Ovis aries: one gene and its partners. The protein of the gene in region 3 purifies or fractionates together with the protein of the main gene of each other region. This does not show direct contact. Links are inferred from orthologs where the notes say so. Each region holds a gene or a part of one and is shown on either strand. Other genes may lie near its edges. The genes, in order: SESN2, DEPDC5 and MIOS.

The links.
Region 1: the proteins of MIOS (region 3) and SESN2 purify together in Homo sapiens (affinity purification with western blotting; 5 studies listed by BioGRID and IntAct, with this or other methods). This does not show direct contact. The link is inferred for Ovis aries from reciprocal best matches to the Homo sapiens genes MIOS and SESN2.
Region 2: the proteins of MIOS (region 3) and DEPDC5 purify together in Homo sapiens (affinity purification with western blotting; 3 studies listed by BioGRID and IntAct, with this or other methods). This does not show direct contact. The link is inferred for Ovis aries from reciprocal best matches to the Homo sapiens genes MIOS and DEPDC5.

What each region holds. Positions count from the first base shown.
Region 1 is NC_056055.1:238,843,864-238,847,515, forward strand, and holds part of SESN2 (sestrin-2), read right to left. Parts: intron 3,420-3,652; coding exon 3,229-3,419; intron 1,798-3,228; coding exon 1,653-1,797; intron 1,061-1,652; coding exon 974-1,060; 3' UTR 1-973. UniProt on the Homo sapiens protein: Functions as an intracellular leucine sensor that negatively regulates the mTORC1 signaling pathway through the GATOR complex. In absence of leucine, binds the GATOR subcomplex GATOR2 and prevents mTORC1 signaling.
Region 2 is NC_056070.1:70,308,704-70,312,355, reverse strand, and holds part of DEPDC5 (GATOR1 complex protein DEPDC5), read right to left. Parts: intron 2,461-3,652; coding exon 2,375-2,460; intron 1,300-2,374; coding exon 1,216-1,299; intron 217-1,215; coding exon 167-216; intron 1-166. UniProt on the Homo sapiens protein: As a component of the GATOR1 complex functions as an inhibitor of the amino acid-sensing branch of the mTORC1 pathway.
Region 3 is NC_056057.1:16,419,052-16,422,703, reverse strand, and holds part of MIOS (GATOR complex protein MIOS), read right to left. Parts: intron 2,356-3,652; coding exon 2,151-2,355; intron 1-2,150. UniProt on the Homo sapiens protein: As a component of the GATOR2 complex, functions as an activator of the amino acid-sensing branch of the mTORC1 signaling pathway. The GATOR2 complex indirectly activates mTORC1 through the inhibition of the GATOR1 subcomplex.

The DNA of each region.
Region 1 (3,652 bases), on a different chromosome or scaffold from region 3:
CACTTTTTTGGCAAATGTCTGTGGCAGGGCCAAGGGAGATGAGACAGCATGGGGTGCCAGCCTCTGCCAGGTAGGTCAGCTCTGGGGAAACACTCCTGCCCTCAGACACTGCCTGAGGCTCTAGGGGTGGGCAGCAAAGAACCTCACCCACGTAAAACCAAAACACAGAGAATTTATCATATAATACTCCCTCCTCATCTGAAGGCAAAGTAACCAACAGAGACTTTAAACTCTAGAGATAATCTACTTGCTTGATGTGCTTGGTCTCTCTCCTGGGGCCTCACTCCACCAGGTGGTGGAGAAAAGGGTAAGAGGGCAAAGGGAGTCAAGGGAATTGAACTAGGACTGGCATGACCAGGGAGCAAGGGGTCTGTGGGCTGCTGGACAGAACGGGCTTCTGGGGAGCCAGATGCACAGACCGGCTGTGACCCTGATTTTCACATTGATGGGTGAATGGCAGGTGGGAGGTAATGAAGTCTTGTGGAGGAGGGAGCTGGAGGAGAGGTGAAGCTGCTTGGAGTGTCAGTCCCTGGAGGTGTTTGCCCCTCTCCCTGGGGGCCAGCCAGGGACTTCCCAGGCCAGGAAGGCCAAAGTACTTGTGCTGCCTGGGCCCCCGCCTGCTGGCACACAAGTCCACGCTCAGTCCATTTTCCTTCCTGTGCCCTTGGCCTCTGAGGGTAAGGGCGGTTAGAAGGGGCTGGCACCTGGGAATCCGCTATGGTCCTCTTCCAGCCCCCGACGCCCCAGGGGCAGAGCTGAGATACCAGAGTCAGTGCGATGGTCCTGTCCATTCCAGTGAGAAGGAGGGTGTGGCTGGGGAGGCTGCACATCACACCCCAGGCCCACCCCCAGAGCAGGGTAGGTGGGTATGGGACAGTAAGAGATTAGGGTCTGTCTCCAAACAGAGAAGTCCTTGCAGCGAGAAGGATGCCCCCCACGGTCAGCTGTTCCAGGCACAGATCTTGCACGTGAGTCAGGTCATGTAACGGGTGATGGCGCGAAGGGCATAGAGCAGGGCGGCTTGCATGCGGGCCTCCAGCAGTAGCAAGTTCACGTGGACCTGGGGGCACAGACGAGGGCTTGTTGGCAACTGATGTCACTCCTCACCATCCCCTTCCCTGCCAGAGTGCCATCATCCCTGACCACCCATTTCATCCTTCCCTTTCCTAAGGCTCTGAGTAACTTGGTGCAAGGACTGTGGGAGAATTTCAAGCATGTTTATCCCGATCATGACTAACCTCTTTATCCCCCAAAGCTAAAAACAACAGCTACCTCTGAGCATTTATTTGGGATCAGAGGTTTACCTTCATTTTCTCACTTCATCCTCCCAGCGACCTTGAAATACAGGCAGTTTTTAAATTTTTATTGTCAAGATAACAAGCTCAGAGAAGCAAAATGACCTGCCCAAGGTCACACAACTCCTAAGTGACAGTGTTATGATATGAACCCAGGTCCTTCCGGCTGCCACTGAGGACACCCATTTTACGGGTGAGTAAATGGGCTTCCCAGGGGGCGCTCGTGATAAAGAACCTGCCTGCCGATGCAGGAGACATGAAGAGACTCAGGTTGGATCCCCGGGTCGGGACCTCAATGGTCCCGAGCCCTCGCCTCCTCCACAGGCTTCCATCCTGTTCCTCCCCCATGAGCCGCACCTTCTCTGAGTGGCGGAAGTGCCTCCAGAAGTGGTTGTACATTCTTCGGGTGGTCTTCTCCGGATAGCAGGCCACTGTCTTGATATAGACCTTGAGGTTCCGCTCCAGGAGCTGGTTCACCTCCCCGTAGTCATAGTCATCATATCTGGATGGAAGACCCAGAAAGAATCACTCACACCTCTGCTCCCACAGAACTTCTCTCCCCCAGCCCCACTCTGCAGAAGGGGGACAGAGAGCAGCAAGAAAAGGCAGAAGGTAGGAAGCAGCTAGAAGCTTGGTTCCTCTTAGAAAAGCAGCTAATGTCATATATCACAGGCCACTGGACTTGCAAGGGAATGCACAGAGGCCGAGCACGCTGCACTGACCATGTGGACATATATTCACAGCATCCTCGAAACTTCAGTACAGGACTGGATACAATACTATTGTATACAGTGTACTGTATTCATCAGTCTCACTTTATAGATGAAATGGAGGTTCAGAGAAGTGAAGTCCCAGGTCACACAGCTGGGAATGGAATTCAAACCCAGCTCTGCCTGCCTCCACGCTCATAGTCACCACTTTACAGCTAAGGCCATACATGGGAGATGGGGCAGGAGATCAGTGTGAATGTTTACCCTGGAGAAGGAAGAGGGAAAGGGAAAAAGGAGTTGGTAGTCATTTTACTGATGGGCAAACTGAAGCCTGTGGAAGGCAATCAGCTTGTTCAAAGTCAAAGAGCAAGTTGGTGACAAGTCTAGAAGCTATTCTGTTCCTCCCCAGTCCAGCGAGGCGGTGAGTCATCACGGATCAGTGTGGATGAGGAAGACCGGTTTTAGACTAGAGGGCAGATTTGGTAAACAAAGGTTTAGGAGCAAGGGCCATGTTGCAGAGTGGAGCAGCCTGGACCTGGAAGCTGGGCACCAAGGGAGGCCACGATGTGCCACATATACACCCTAAGATGCCCATCATCCTTGGCTTCTCCTGGATTGGAGACTTGTGAAAGAGGTTGGCCAGCGGGAGATTGGCCAATAAAGCACAGCTCAGCCCACGCAGTGAAATATTGGGTTAGCCAAAAAATGCATTCAGGTTTTTCCATAAGTTGTTGACGGAAAAATCCAAATGAACTCTTTGACCAAGCCAATACCTGACAATAGTAAGAGCAGGTGGGATCATGAATGATTTTTATTTTCTTCTTTTATCTCTTTTTTTCTAAATTTACTAAAAATCAAATTTCACCATTGGGCATTTCTGTTGTTTTTCTTTATTATGAGAGAAGAACTGCTACTTAGAATGGAAATACAAACATAACTCTCTTTATATGTATATATGTGTGTATGTATGTAAGTATACGTGTGTGTGTGTGTGTGTGTGTGTGTGTGTAATCTCCCTAGTTATTCCTGGGGGTGGAATTAAAGCCTTTTAAGAACTGAGGATGGCTATTATCTTTTATAATCAGCCAAGGAATATATTTGATTTGAAGAATAGTATAGGCAGGAAGAAAGGGAAAGAAAGACAAAGAGAAAAAGGAAACAATTGTGAGCTTGGATAGAGGGCTTGTGGTACACCATGCCTGGATGAGGGGACTTTCACTTACCTGATGCCAAAGACGCAGTGGATGTAATTCCAGATGGCCCTGCGGAGCATGGAGGTATCTACTCCACTGTGCATGGCAATGGTGTTATAGGTGAGACTATAGGCTGCCTGGAACTTCTCATCCAGCAGCTGTCCACCCTCAGGGTAGAGCCGCTGGATCAGTGAATAGCCATGGTCTTCCCAGGTATAATCCTGAGAAACGTGGAAAGGGGTCAGTCAGTGAGTAGAATCCTTGGGGCCTGAGGCTGGCCAGAGAGACGCCATCTTCTGCAGCACAGCTGGTATCTCCATAGTGCCTCTCTCCACCCCCACAAATCTAACCCGCTGCTTGGTCTGGACCTGAGAAGCTGAGGAGGATGCAGCTTGGTGATGACTTCCTTCCTGTGGTCAAGATCCCCTGAGCGTAGGACCCGGCTGGGTCTTTT
Region 2 (3,652 bases), on a different chromosome or scaffold from region 3:
ATGGGCTTTCAGTGTGCCCAGCAAACAGATCTGTCTGCTCCTGGGCCTACTGTGTGTTTTATTATATGGATATCCACACGCCTCAAAGGCCTTATGTAGAACAGTTACTGCACTGGATCCTGCTCCTGTTTACAAGCTGATGAATCAGGAGTGACACAGTAGTTACCTGATGCCAGCAAATTCCACCTTCTGAGTGATATAGGCACATGTGCTGACCTAGGTGGAGAGAGAGAGAGATTCAACAACACATCGAGGCCATGAAAGGTCACAGAGAAAGTCTCCTGGCTCTCTAATCTCTTCCAACAACCCGATACTCAATTAACATGGGAGCAATAGGTTTATCCCACAGGGAAACCTGCTGGGGCGGGTATAACAGTAGGTTCTGAAGGGCTTGGCAGGTACAGACAGTAGTGAAGACTGGGTGGATAGTAAGTGGCCAGCTTCCCCTGTATACTTGTCATAGACGCTCACATATGCACCTATATTTACATATAGAACATCTACTTCTCATTTTAGAAAACGGAACCTTCTCCCACCAAATAAAAAATAAGCAAAGATATCTCTGTCTAAAAATATACAGTGTGGACATTTTACTTAGGATTTGCTGTTCCACAATTGCCAAAGAGTCCAAAAGGAGAAGTTTCCACACCAGCTCGCAATTGTGATGAACTGATCGTGTTCGGTGGAAAATGCCAGTTAAAAATAAATAAACAAGGAAAAATGGGATGAGGGGAAAGCGAAAAGCAGTCTAACCTGGAAGCAACAAGATCTCGGTTCCAGCCGAGTGTCAACTGTTTACTAGCTTTCTCGTCTTGGGAACTCACTCAACCCCTCTATCTCAGTTTTCATATATATAAATTCAGGGTAATAAATGCCTATCCACAGAAGGAGATATGAAGAGCAAATGAAGTCAGGTGAAAACTTGAAAATCAAAGTCCCATTTAAATGTAAAGTCATATTATACTTTCCCATTCAGATCAAAAAATGCAGAGTAAAACTCTGTGACAACAAACAAGCAGAACAAAGCATGAAAAAAAACATGAAAAGAGAATGGAAGGAGACAGACAACATCTCTACAATAACTGTCTGTGATGCTAGAACCGGAAATGATTTTACACCCTTCTTCCAACTAGACAGACATCTCCCCAGTGACATGGATTATGTTATAATCAAAAAAGTAACAGACTTTAAAACAAAAAAAAAATCACATCTTACCAAACTTTTCTTTAGTCGCCACATATCCCCACGGCCAATATACTGATCCTTAAAGGTTAATTCCACAAGGTCAAGGGTCACATCCTAAAAAGGATAATCAGATGTATGTTTCTGCATTACTCTGCCATGCTTTACAGGCGGAAGATAGTGCTCATTCACCACAGAGAAACTTTTTGACAAAAAGACAAGCACTGAAGACCATTCAGTAGTGAAAGTGAAAGTCGCTCAGCCGTGTCTGACTCTTTTGTGATCCCATGGACTATACAGTCCATGGAATTCTCCAGGCCAGAATTCTGGAGGGCATAACCTTCCCTTCTCCACGGATTTTCCCAGCCCAGGGATCGAACCCAGGTCTCCTGCATTGCGGGCAGATTCTTTACCCGATGAACCACAAGGGAAGCCCATTCATTAGCGGAACCCTGAGAAACAGAATTTTATCCTGCCTGAGAAGGCTTTTGAAGACAGGGACGTGTCCAACAGATATGACAGCTACTGTACTATGGTCAAGTGCAAAGCACACCAGAGTAGACAGTCAGTGTTTTAGTCCTGATTTTGGTACAGAAATGTGACAGTGAGCTGGGTTTTATTTCCCTAGATAATATCGATCATGTCATTTGGACAATGAATTTTTTTACCTCTTAATTTTACAGCATCATTGCCCAAAGTAAAATGAGAACACAGAAAGAAATTTTAGTATTTTATAGAGAATTTTATATTTAGCTTCACAAACACACATATATGTACAGAACCTTGATAGGACAAGCTTTTAAAAAAAGGAGGACTTTCAATGCAACGTACACTCTGTCTATAACCTAAACGACCTATGTAGGACCACACATTGAATAGTCTACACTACACTTGGCGTGTTAGTTGTGCCATCGTGTTTCACTCTTTGCGACGCCATGGACGGTAGCCCACCAGGCTCTCCTGTCTCTGGAATTCTCCAGGCATGAATACTGGAGTGGGTAGCCGTTCCCTTCTCCAGTGGATCTTCCAGACCCAGAGACTGAACCCAAGTCTCCTGCATTGCAGGCGGGTTCTTTACTGTCTGAGCCACCAGGCAAGCCCTAAGTAACTCATTATTTCCTTAGAGACCTACTGTTGAGGAAGGGCATTAATCATTCCCCATAAGATATTCAAATCCAGAACAAAGACACACCTTAGGGTCAACAACATTCACATACACATCTTGATAAGGTCTTAGCCGGAACACCTGAGTCACAGTCTGGTCCACACTGATGGTTTCTGAAACAGAGAAGAAATCTGAATCACATAGAGCATTCTGAAAAACCAGGCAAATACATTCTAATCTATAAACGGCTTCTCAGGTGGCTCAGTGGTAAAGAATCTGCCTGCCAATTCAGGAGAATCAGGAGATGTGGGTTCGATCCCTGGGTCGGGAAGATCGCCTGGAGAAGGAAATGGCAACCCGCTCCAGTATTCTTCCCTAGAAAATTCATAGGCAGAGGAGACTGGCAGGCTACAGTCCATGGGGTCACAAAGAATGAGATACAACTGAGGGCACGTGTGTGCGTGTGTGTGTGCACACACACACACACAATCTATAAATGCCCAAACATTCAACAAACAACACAACTGATCCTTTACCAAGGGCAAGACATGTTTTCTGTCTTCAGGAACTTAAAACTTAGAGAGTTCTCTGCTGTTCAGGTGAAGTAAGACCTGAAGCCAAGCAATTAAAAAATGAGAGAGAGACAGACTGAAATAGAGAGAGAGAAAAAAGAGTTTAAGAAGCAACACAAGAAAATTCAAAGGGTTGTGAAAATTGAGAAGAGGAAAGAGACCCTTTCTCTTTTGGAGTAAAAGTGGTGATGGTAGTCAAGAAAGAAACAAACTTTCCAATGAGCCCTGAAGTCTGCTAAGTAAGAACGTAATAGGCAGCAGGAGATGCGGCTGCTGCTGCTAAGTCGCTTCAGTCGTGTCCGACTCTGTGCGACCCCACAGACGGCAGCCCACCAGGCTCCCCCATCTCTGGGATTCTCCAGGCAAGAGCACTGAGGTGAGAGCAAAAAGGACACTCAGGATCTAGGTTTGAAAACACGTTTTCCCGTCAATTTAAAACATAAAAAAGTGGTTGACATCAAAATCCTTTAGAGAAGATTAAAAAAAATTTTTTCTTTTCAGTGCCGTTTAAGGAATTATTTTATTTGCTATCAATTAACATTTTAGTTCCTAGATCAGCATGGTATAGTCATTAGAAGAAAGGATTTGGATTCAGACTGAGTTAGTATTGATAGAATCACTGCTCTGGCTCCTTCACTTGCTAACACCAGGCAAACTTGCTCATCCCACTGAGACAAAGGTTCCTCCCTCACTCAAGAGCTGGTGGGAAGAAAAAGACAGATAGATGCCAAGCAGCTCCAGTTCAGTGCTTTGCACAAGTGCCGGGTAATCAGCGGTCTATGTTCTTCCTCTG
Region 3 (3,652 bases):
ATTTATTTTATGTTAGCTATCCATGCTCATTTATACATTTATATATCATAAGCTCCACGAGGATCTTTGAGTCATCCTAGCAATCAGCCTTAACTTAGTGCATTAAACAAGTATTCAAATTTATAGAGACATTATTTCTGCAGCAAATTTTTAAACAAAAATTTGAAGCAAATATGAGAAAGTTTTAAGACTTGATAAACCTGGGTGTTGACTTTTCATTAAATTAATAGCCTTTATAACAGAGCTTAAAATGCTTTATGGTTTAATTTTCTTCAAATTCTAGAAAACTGTTTTTATCTTTTCTTACCTATTTCAAAAGTAGAAAAACCTGAAAAGCTAGAACCTAGCAAAAAGCAATAGCACTCTAGCCATTACAATTTGCTGAGACTTATGGTCCAAAAGACATATTAAGTTCAATCATTTCTAAGTATTTAAGTTCACATAGAACTTACTAGACACCATATTTTGCTTCCTTGTTCTCTCACTGTAGTAGATTTTTATCTCAAATTGTTATTTTCTATTCATTAGTAGCAACGCCTTCCCTGGTGGCTCAGATGGTAAAGAATCGGTCTGTAATAGGGGAGACTTGGGTTCAATCCCTGGGTTGGAAAGATGGAAAAGGATACGGCAACTCACTCCAGTCCTCTTGCCTGAGGAATTCTATGGACAGAGGAACCTGGCGGGCTACAGTCCATGGAATCATAAAGAGCTGAACACAACTGAGGGACTAATGCTTTCTTTCAAGGCCATAAAAACAGTGATCAACATGCAGTGTAAAAAGTGAAAGTCCTGGATGAAAACAAGTCAAGACTAACATGCATCTAAAACGTTACATACTACATTTGTTAAAAATAAAGGATGGGGCGGGGGCGGGGGGACTTCCCTGTGGCCCAGTGGTTAGGAATCGACCTGCCAATGCAAGCGACCTGAGTTCGGTCCCTGGCCCCAGGAACTAAGACTCCACGGGCCACGGGGCAACTGAGGCCATGCGCCACCAATACTAAGCCGCACGTCCTGGGGCCTGTGCTCTGCAGTAAGAGAAGTCGCCACAGGGAGAAGCCCGCGCGCCGCAACTAGAGAGCAGCACCTGCTCCCTGCAACTAGAGAAAGCCCGTGAGCAGCAGCCCTGCTGAAAATACGTAAGATAGACAAAAGAAATCCATGCTTTAGAAAAAAAATCTATTCTGAAAAACAGTAACAATACTACTAGCAAATCTCTTTCAGACGTTAAAGCAACAATAAAACAGACTACTTACAAGAATAACCTGCAGAACAGAATTATAAAGTTTCATAACTAGGAGGATCTCCCAGTCCAACACTCCATTTATAAGTGGGTTAAAGTGACTCTCAATCTCGCAGACTAAACGTCACAGAGCCAGAACTGAAACAGGCATTCTGATATCAGACGCAGTTCTTCATTCCTTATTCATTTACCACTATGCCAGATATTCAAGTGTGTCTAGCTAAAATTTTTGCCTTAGTATGATTTTTAACTTATATAAATAGCTGAAATATTTCCAGCCACTAGGTACATTTATATTCGATTATCTACTATTCTCAAAAATGTTCTCTGTATGTTGACGTTAAGCAGTATACAGTAATTCTAGTATTTTTAACCATTAAAAAAGTACATATATTTACAAAATAGCTGACGGACATAGCAGAAACAACACCAAAACTTAGAAGGACAGGACTCTGAATGCTAGGTTAATACTTTCCCCATATATTTTCACAGGCAGATTTTGAAGATGAAATAAGAGAAAATGTCAAAGGGCTTTGAGATGATCAAAAGTTCTTTATGCACACAAGATATCTGTTACTTGATGAGGCCACAGTGACTTTTAAGCATAAAATTTAAAAGTGGTAAGAAAACAGTATATAATTATTTAATATTTAAGCTCTTCTTACAAACTTTAAACTGGTAAGCATGTGTGGTTAGAGATACTGCGGATAGAGAGTTTACTTTCAATGTACAGATTTTATAAATTATAGAACACAAAAACTGCCAAGCCAGCAAAGTGGCTTGCTCTTAGAAATAATATAAACCCAAGGTGGTATGTCTTTTATTTACAACATCATTAAATCAATTATGTAGAAACAATTTCAGCTCAAAAGAGTATACTGAATTATTACATGGAATCACGTCATACCAGGACAACTGGAGACAGGCGTTCCCATATTAATGAGGCAAAGTGCACAGCGAGGGAGGGGCTTTCGACAGCCGGGGCAACTTGTCACTTTAGATTTCGTTGGTGAGCCACTGACACCATACTGGCTGAAACCTCGGCCCTGGTGGGGAACAGTGGAGCAGCTGTAGGAGATGGACTTTCCACAAAAATTGCAGCTCACAAACACCTATGAAACAGGTGAAAGGAGAAATAAATAAAACGCAAACTTCATGAATAAAATTTAAAATAACTAAAGTTTGGTCCTAACAAATTATCTTTCAATAATTTTTAAAATTTTATTGTATACTGTAAGTTATCTGCTAAGCCGGCTAGTTCTAAGACTTCTACTTAGCGGTTACATAATTTGAATACTTCTTGTTACTTTGTTTAGTTATATTCTTCCTAACATCACTGATAGGTACAGGAAAACTCAGAAGGATTAGATTCTAAATTTTAGGAATAACAAAGACTAAACAAGAGTTTACACTGGGACATAACAAAATACCTAAATGACTTTTGATACAAATTTCAATGATATAATATTCTGAATAAAATTTTCCTTTAAAGAAAATACTCATTTTCTAAGATTAAAAAGGAGTTAGGGAGCCTATAATAGTAAATAGCTAAAACTCAGGAATAATAGCAATATAAACTGTTCATTTTACCTTTAAACTCCTAGACTCTCAAACACGTATAATACAGAGTAGTAGCAAATATCATGTAACACTACTTTATTAATATTCAGGGTGTTTTAATACAAACAGTAATTTCTCAACTTTCTAAAACAGGAAGACAGCACCATCCAGTGCTCACATCGAGGATATACCTGACTGCTAATGAGATTTAATACTTGGAATCAGATACAGTGATCTCATGTCAAGTGCTTATGTAACAATTGATCTCATGCTGCTTTTTTTAAGTCAAAGTACAGTCGATCTACAATAGTATATAATTTTAAGTGCACAGCAAAGTTAATTCAGTTTTAGAGTATTTTCAAGAGTCTTTTAGGTTATAACAAGACAGTGTTACAGTAAATTCTTGTTTATTTTAAATAGTGCTTATTTCATGTTTTTTAAACTACTGCTTGAAAAATAAATTTCTATGTGTAATTAGACATATAGATATATATTTATGTACTATTAAACAAATCCTGCCTTATTACATATAATAGTGCAGAAAAACACAATACCCAAGTGCAAAGTGTAAGAACATACAGTAGTTAAAATTTGAAAGGTCTTGGAATAGACCAGAAAGCCTCACTCAGACAGTCTTAGGACTGAGTTGGGTTTGCCTAAGATCCTCTAGGCCTGCTGTGGTTTGTTCTGTGTTAGATTAAAGTGCAAGACACTGAGAGGACTGTTAGAAAGTGTAGGATCAAAAAAACATGAAAACTAAACACAAAGCAGAGTCTGGTTAGACAAAGACATCAATGGGAACTCAACATGAGCAAAAGAACGAGTTTATTAATAGCGATTTATTAAACT